Linked DNA regions of Arabidopsis thaliana. The protein of the gene in region 1 interacts with the protein of each later gene in a pairwise test. Each region holds a gene or a part of one and is shown on either strand. Other genes may lie near its edges.

Evidence for each region. Proteins that work in one complex are often made in the same cells at the same time.
Region 2: the proteins of AT4G28020 (region 1) and LQY1 interact in a two-hybrid assay, tested with the Arabidopsis thaliana proteins (one large-scale study listed by BioGRID).

The regions. Positions count from the first base shown.
Region 1 is NC_003075.7:13,933,414-13,937,166, reverse strand, and holds the start of AT4G28020 (tRNA-thr(GGU) m(6)t(6)A37 methyltransferase), read left to right. Parts: upstream 1-1,687; 5' UTR 1,688-1,917; coding exon 1,918-2,005; exon of another isoform or gene 2,006-2,107; coding exon 2,108-2,229; intron 2,230-2,230; exon of another isoform or gene 2,231-2,378; coding exon 2,379-2,479; intron 2,480-2,572; coding exon 2,573-2,768; intron 2,769-2,845; coding exon 2,846-2,938; intron 2,939-3,027; coding exon 3,028-3,087; intron 3,088-3,165; coding exon 3,166-3,240; intron 3,241-3,387; coding exon 3,388-3,468; coding exon of another isoform or gene 3,469-3,483; exon of another isoform or gene 3,484-3,534; intron 3,535-3,538; coding exon 3,539-3,753. Other genes in the region: AT4G28025 (uncharacterized protein), read left to right, coding at 631-715, 875-1,000, 1,094-1,195, 1,281-1,331.
Region 2 is NC_003070.9:28,421,790-28,425,542, reverse strand, and holds the start of LQY1 (DnaJ/Hsp40 cysteine-rich domain superfamily protein), read left to right. Parts: upstream 1-2,022; 5' UTR 2,023-2,372; coding exon 2,373-2,522; intron 2,523-2,605; coding exon 2,606-2,689; intron 2,690-2,802; coding exon 2,803-2,854; intron 2,855-2,989; coding exon 2,990-3,146; intron 3,147-3,248; coding exon 3,249-3,270; 3' UTR 3,271-3,753. Other genes in the region: HVA22G (HVA22-like protein G), read right to left, coding at 612-686, 793-999, 1,079-1,142, 1,226-1,468, 1,556-1,587. UniProt on the Arabidopsis thaliana protein: Protein disulfide-isomerase probably involved upon formation of a complex with HHL1 in maintaining photosystem II (PSII) activity under high light by regulating repair and reassembly of PSII complexes.

The sequences.
Region 1 (3,753 bases):
ATGTAGTGTTCTGCCTCGTAATTTTTGTAATTCGTGATCTGGGTTTGTGATTTTTGTTGTTACTCGCCACCAAAGTCTCTGTTTTTCCTCTGAACTTCTAAAATCAGAATCCATTTTGGGTAATTGAGATTTCTCCAATTGTGACTTTGATTTCTTCTCTGTTGATTGGGTTAAGATGCTTTCTATGAGTAATGTTTGAAATTCAAATCCTTTATTCATCATCGTGTTTAAGATCCAAATGTAATCAGTGAACTGTTTATAGTTTGGAAGCGGTTTAGTTCCTATTGGATCTGTTTCATTTCACATAATCACACTTGTGTTGTGAATATTTGCTCTTGCGTTTTGGATAAGTTTACTTATTGGTACCGAATTGATAGTTATTCTATACATGAGATAAGCATTCCTCTTATTCTGCTTCTCTTCTCTTACTTACTTACATACCCTGTGTTTGTTCCATTGCCAGCTTTATTTCTTCTTTTCTTTTATGACATTTGTTAATCTAAGTTGGTAATAAGATCATGAAGAAGAAGCATTGGTTTTATCCAATTTAGGAGTCATTGATCAGTTGTTATCATTACGTTTGATAAATAGACAACTTCTCATTCATTATAAACATGTATTTTTCATCAGAAAGGGACTAAGAAGACACCAAGATGCAAAGTTGGTGGGCAACAGAGCCAGAGTTGGAGTAGTACGAGTCCTAGCGAACCCAAATGTATAACATTAACCTTTTTTTGCAGTTATAGATTTTGCTATCTTAGTAGTGTTTTCGTTCAGGACACCAAGTCATACTCATGTCATGTTTGATCTTCTTGTTGGTTGATATGATATGACCATTGGTTTAAACTTACTGACATGCTGAGTGTTCTTGTAGGTATCTCCTCCTCCTCCTCCAGGAAAAGCAAAGGTAAAAAAAGAGGTAATCATGGTAGACCCTCTTGAGGCTAAGCGGTTAGCTAGTAAGCAAATGGAAGAGATTAAAGGCAGAGAAAAGCAACAGGTGAGGAAATAAACCCTCTGGACGAATGATGATAAATTGTATACAAGATTTGTGGAGATAGCACAGAAGTTTATTCTCTCGTTTGCTTTACAGAGAAGGCGTGAAATAGAGGCTATTAACGGAGCATGGGCAATCATAGGACTCATGATAGGGCTGGTGATCGAAGCTCAAACGGGGAAGGGTATTCTGGCTCAGGTATGGTTTACTTATACTTCCTCAGTGTTGTTGATAAATGAAAGGCTTTTTTACTAAATCGTGAGGTTGCTATTTATAACTGCAGTTGGCTGGTTATTGGTCTGCAGTTGTCCATTTGTTCACTCCATCAACTTAGAATGAATTAAGTTTCATTTGGTTTTCTCTACTCTCAACTGTGACCAAATCTAATGTTGTGTTCATGCAAGTTAAGTTGTTAAACACATACACTTTGTAAATCCTCCCTTGTTTCAAAATGTCAAATCCTGCCATTTGTAAAAGAACAAAATTTAAAGAGTTTTACACTTAAATAAGAATCAAACATACACTTTTGTAACAATTTCTAAGAAAATATTTCCGTTTAGGTTTTCAATTAATTCTGCCTTGAATTCAATGAAATTGTTTGATGGATTCACACCAAAAAAAATGAAATTGTTTGATGGAAAAAAATAAATTTAGTTGTGTATAGTTCGTTAAATTTTAGTTTTTTTTTTTTTTTTGAGAAAGAAGTTTAGTATTTACTTACAGAACATAAAATATAGGCAAATCCAACAAATTCAGTGGGCCGTTGCTGGACTTTTAAGCATTTGATAATTATATGGGCCTTACAGTTATTATAACTGTCTCTCCCATAACTAAAAGTAAAAACCGATTTGACTCCCGGACCGATACATTCCCGCCGCCGTCGCAACGTTCCACTCGCCGTCGCAGCAAACAGTTCATCTATGGCTACATCAGGACGCTCCCACGGCTCTACCACGGCGGCTTTAGCCTTTACACTCGCCGTAGTATCTGTATCCGCTGCCTTCTCGCGTAATCTCTTTCTCTCTACCTCTCTGTCACTTCCTCTTCCCAATACCTGTTATTGAGCTGGTTTCGAGAAACTAACACTTTATTGAGCATGTTCTTGCGAAGTGTATAGATGGCGAAGACGAGAAGAAGATTTGGAGAATAGGATCAAGGAATTTGAGAAGTCTTTGGGATCTACCTTGGAAAAAAGTGCTTCTGAGAGAAAAGGTCGAGTCAAAGCTCAGCAGGTGAGTTTTTTTTTAACTTGTACTAGTCTCTGAAATATAGGAATTTAGATTCAAATCATTCAAATGCACATCAAAATTGATACTTGTCAAGATTGGAGGAAATCTCTATGGATTTATGTTCACTCTCTTGATGCAATTGAAAGCTGTAGGCTTTACGGGAGGCGTTAGCACAGACTGAGTCACATGATTTACACAGCACAATATACCCGATGCGACCTATTGGCACTATCCAGTCTTGCTTCTCTACTAGGTAACATGATCCTCATGGCTTTCCAGTTTCAGGGGAGCTTTATACTGTTTTAAAATAATTGGCTTCTTAAGTGCTACTTCTTGGTTTTTGCAGGAACGGGACACCGAGGCAGCCATTGCTTGTTTCTCTTGCGAGGGCATGTTTGATCTTTGATCCGGCTTTGGTTCCTCCTGCGTCTCTTGAGGGTCTTGAAGAGTATTCTCATTGCTGGATACTCTATGTGTTTCATCTCAATACTGATATCGAGAAGCTATGGAGAAAACCATCTCAGTCGAAGCTCAAGGCAAAGGTATGTTTCTTTTCTTTTGTTTGTTTCTATGTTATGATGTTACTCAGTCTGAGGTTTTTGGGGTGTTGTGAATTTAGGTGAGAGTGCCACGGCTAAATGGGGAACGGAAGGGAGTCTTTGCTACGCGGTCCCCTCATCGACCTTGTCCCATTGGCCTCACCGTTGCTAAGGTTTTCTGAGCGTAATCCGTTCCTCCTGTTGTTAATAAAGACATATTGAATATCTTGACCAAAAGTACTTAATGGTGATTAATCCTTAGGTGGAGGAAATCCAAAAGGATAAGGTTCTCCTCTCTGGTGTCGATCTGGTGGATGGGACTGTAATTCTCCTTTCCCTTACTCATGTCAGCTTTTTGAGTAATGAGTAGTTCGTTGATTGTTTTGACGGTTTTGGACAGCCGGTGCTCGACATCAAACCATATTTACCATACTCGGACAGTATTCAAGGAGCCTCAGTGCCAAACTGGGTAAAGGTAATGTACATTCTTGTGAATTGATCTTTCTAAGTTTTTCGTCTATGTAACTGAATACTGCTGAGACTTGAAGATCATTGTGAGTAACTGCGTCCTTACCTGAGTAGGTACAAGTAAAGATTAAAACAAATTGAATATGAATTTCAGGAGGACTGCTCATTGGCTGTGGCTTCTGTGACTTTCTCAGATACCTTCTCTTCATCCATCACCAGCTGCTGGAAACTGATAGTGAGTGACTTCTGACCTGATCATCTCTTCTCCATTTACTGTTTTAACATAATAGTTGCTATGCGCGCAGGAAAAGAAGTCTCTATATAGTTCAGCAGATGAGTTTAGGAGCTTGATCACGCAGGTCCTGTCATGGGACATACGATCAATGTCGCAACGGAACAAGCCACAAGATACATTGGATGAGGAAATTGTTTATCACTTGGTTCTGGAGGGACTAGACGTGTCTTACATGATAGATAATGAAAGTAATATTCTCGTTCAGGATGTTTCTCTTCCCAAAAA
Region 2 (3,753 bases), on another chromosome or scaffold:
TAGTGTAATTTTTTTGAATTTTAAAATTAAAGATTTAGGTAGGAGATGTCAGAGCGGGTTAATCCGTCCCATTTAACCTAATCTACAACAAATTGCGATACTTTGCGAGTTTTGACGGATCATTCCATCGAAGACCTCGATATTCAAACATCATTCTAAATCCTACTCAAATTTCAATTGTCTCTTGTACTCATGTATTTCATGTATGAGAATTATTTCACTGTCTGAATGGGTTATGGATACTACTGATCATAACCATATCGCAAACCCATTTTCAAACATCTAAGATTATAATCCTAATCAGATGTATACGGAGCACCACTAGATTTAAGAGAATGGGGACATAAGCTGGTAAAGAATTGGGCCACCATTAAACGTGTGAAAGAAGAATTTGGGTTTAGGCCCATATCAAGCTAGATTCTCATGATACTTGGTTAAAAAGCAACCTTTTTATTTTTCTCCGAAGCAATTTACATTTGAGATTCATGATTTATTCATAGTAACGACTAAAAGAAAGAAGATGATGCATAGTTAGTTAGTACAGTGTGTTTTCCCCAATAGTTTCCCACGAGTCAGGCTTAACGTTTTCCTCTCGAATGACTCTACGTACCTCATTTAGTGACTTCGTTTTCTTTCACCTTAAGAATTGGATCATCGAGTTTAGGTATTGTTGTCTCTTTCTTTTCCTGTTCACAAATAGAAAAACGAGCAAGATTTTTTATTGAAGTTCACTCACAAGTCAAATGTTAAAATGAAACAGAGAAGAGTAGAGAGGTGAAGAAATAAATATACCTCAGCCTTAGATTTTGGTGTTGATTGTTCTGTGATATACTGTAAGATCTCAAAGAATTTGGTCTGCCCTTGGTTGATTGCTTTTTGGAGATATATCATTGCCATATCCTTAGCTCTAGTCTTTACCTTCACCAAGTTGCGGTCAATTTCATTTTCATGCTTTGCTATATATGGCCTGAAGAAAGAATCGTAAACGTATGTTGTTCCCTGAAATGATATAACACATAGGTAATAAAAATTAGAGAAAAAGTCAGTTGAATCAAAAGATATATAAGATATTACTTACTTTAGTCTTTGGAAACCAGAGATAAATGAAGAAAGCCAACTTCGCCTCGCTATACATTGGTAACCTTCAAGACAACATGAAAACATAAGAATACTAATATACAATACTGTAAAACTCTTTGTTTTCTAAGTAATATAAACAGCCTACCAAGAAACAAGAGCATCACCAATTCTTTCGAAAATCGTCAAAGCAGCTACAATAATCCTGCAAAGATGTTTTGAGTGGAAGGAAGCAAGATTTATATAGGAACCTAAAAAGGTTATAGATAAAGGATAGAATGTATGCATATACCAATACTGGCACCAGAACTGAAGTTGTTGAATTTCAGGCTTGTTGAGTTCGACCGTTTTGAAGCACTCATAAGCAGGATATGCATATCCAAACACCATTCTGTCAATAAATAGAAAGATTCATTACTTAGTTTGATTGAAAGAAATGTGTGTTTTATAAAATTAAAAGAAGAGATCAATAACATACAAAAGCCCTCTTGTCAGAAACGATCCAATCATTGTGATCACCTGCTAAAACGTTTAAAAAAAACAAAAGAATCTGCTTGTCAGAATTAAATTCTCGACCCCGATTCATTGAAATGATTATATCATCCAAAATACAAAAAGACAGAGACAAAACAATCAACTAAACAATATTGATGCATGCCTTCAAACGATTACACTTCCTAAAGGCTAATATGAAGAAGAAGATATTAACGGTTTAAGCGATTGAACAATAACACATACCTTATCAGAAAAACGGTTTCGGCGAAAAAGGAATGAGAAGAATGATTTCGAACGAATTATAGACGACGGTTACGTACGATAGTGACTTGCGAATGGAGAAACAAAAGATGGAGAAAAGGCGAAGCAAAACGGTATCGGATAGTGACTTGCGAATCCTTTTTTCATTTGTTCTCTACTTGTGAGTTTCAACTTGAAACAGTGCGGTTTTTAAATAGTCAACAATCACGACTTTTAGACGTTATCAGCCGTTGGATTTATACTTGACGGTTGTGATCGTCTACGTTTAAGCGGGTGTATCGTATCTCACCACACCGTATCTTGTTTTCCTCTTCTCCAATACGCTTCGGAAAACTGGATTACAGTTAACAGTGGATTAGTGGATAAGGAGATAAATACTAAATATCTTATTAAGCCACGTGAACAAATCTTAGCCATGGAAACATAATCTAGTGGCTGAGATTAACCCAAAACTACTGGTTCTTCTTCTTCCTCTCATCCATCTTCGCGCGCTTAAGCGATTCTCTGCAAAGCTTCATACCAAACAAAGAGAAGTCGAAATGCCAGTTTCAGCTCCATCTCCGCCTCGTCTTCATTCTCCGTTCATTCACTGTCCCATCAATTTCACTCCTTCTTCTTTCTCGGCGAGGAATCTCCGGTCGCCGTCAACATCTTATCCCCGAATCAAAGCTGAACTCGATCCCAACACGGTTTGATCCTCATCTCTGGCTATATAGACTTTGTTCTCTTCTCACTAGTTTTTATTGATGAACGATTTTGATTATCTTTCTAGGTAGTCGCGATATCTGTAGGCGTAGCAAGCGTCGCATTAGGAATCGGAATCCCTGTGTTCTACGAGACTCAAATCGACAATGCGGTGAGTCTTCTCATTCTCATTGTTGAAAATTTGATACCGTTTTGGCAATGCTTCTAAGTGAGTGCATTGCTGTGGAATAAAGTTAACACTGTTTTGATTTTACACTTTCATAGGCTAAGCGAGAGAATACTCAACCTTGTTTTCCCTGTAATGGCACCGGAGCTCGTAAGTGGATCTCTCTCAACTTTTTGTTAGCATTTTGGTTGGATTTGTGTAAGAGCAAAATGTTTGATGTGTCGAAAATGTTTATAAACATATTATGATGTTTCTGAAGAAATAGTTTCTTTGGTGGTGGAGCAGAGAAATGCAGATTGTGTGTGGGAAGTGGTAATGTGACCGTAGAGCTTGGTGGAGGAGAGAAAGAAGTCTCAAACTGTATCAACTGTGATGGTGCTGGTTCCTTAACTTGCACTACTTGTCAAGGCTCTGGTGTTCAACCTCGATACCTTGATCGAAGGTACTATACTATACGATTACTGTGAATCAGGAGCCACTCTGTTTTTTGCACATTGTAGAGATACTAACACATTTCTCTTTTCTTTTCTTTTCTTCTGGTCAGGGAGTTCAAGGACGATGACTAAATACCTTGCTCTAAGGAACATTTCTTTTCTTCTCCCTTCTCACATTTCTTCATTGTACAATGCTGTTTTGTTCACCAAACATGTTGAGAGAACATCATGACATGGATATTGTAATTGTGAAAGAAAACCACCAGAGTTCAATCAAATGTTTCTTCTTGTACTTACCTAGTAACCATGTCTACCTCGTCAAGCACATTGATTCAGTTTGTAATACTAAATCTATCCTCTTGCGTTATGGAATCAGCTTTCCTTGACCTCAAAGCAGTTACCATGTCCGACAAAGCGCCTGCCATTTTCCCCAATGCTGCTGGATCAAATATGGCTCGGTCTCAAAGAGGTCTTTGAATCCGGTTCACTCTTCCTTTTTCTATCCACCAAATGTGTGTTTGCTTGCGCTACAATTGGTGATGATACATTGTCTGTTGCCAATGACTCTTCTGAACCCTCAAAGTTAATTGATTACTTACTGTTGAAGTTAAGCAT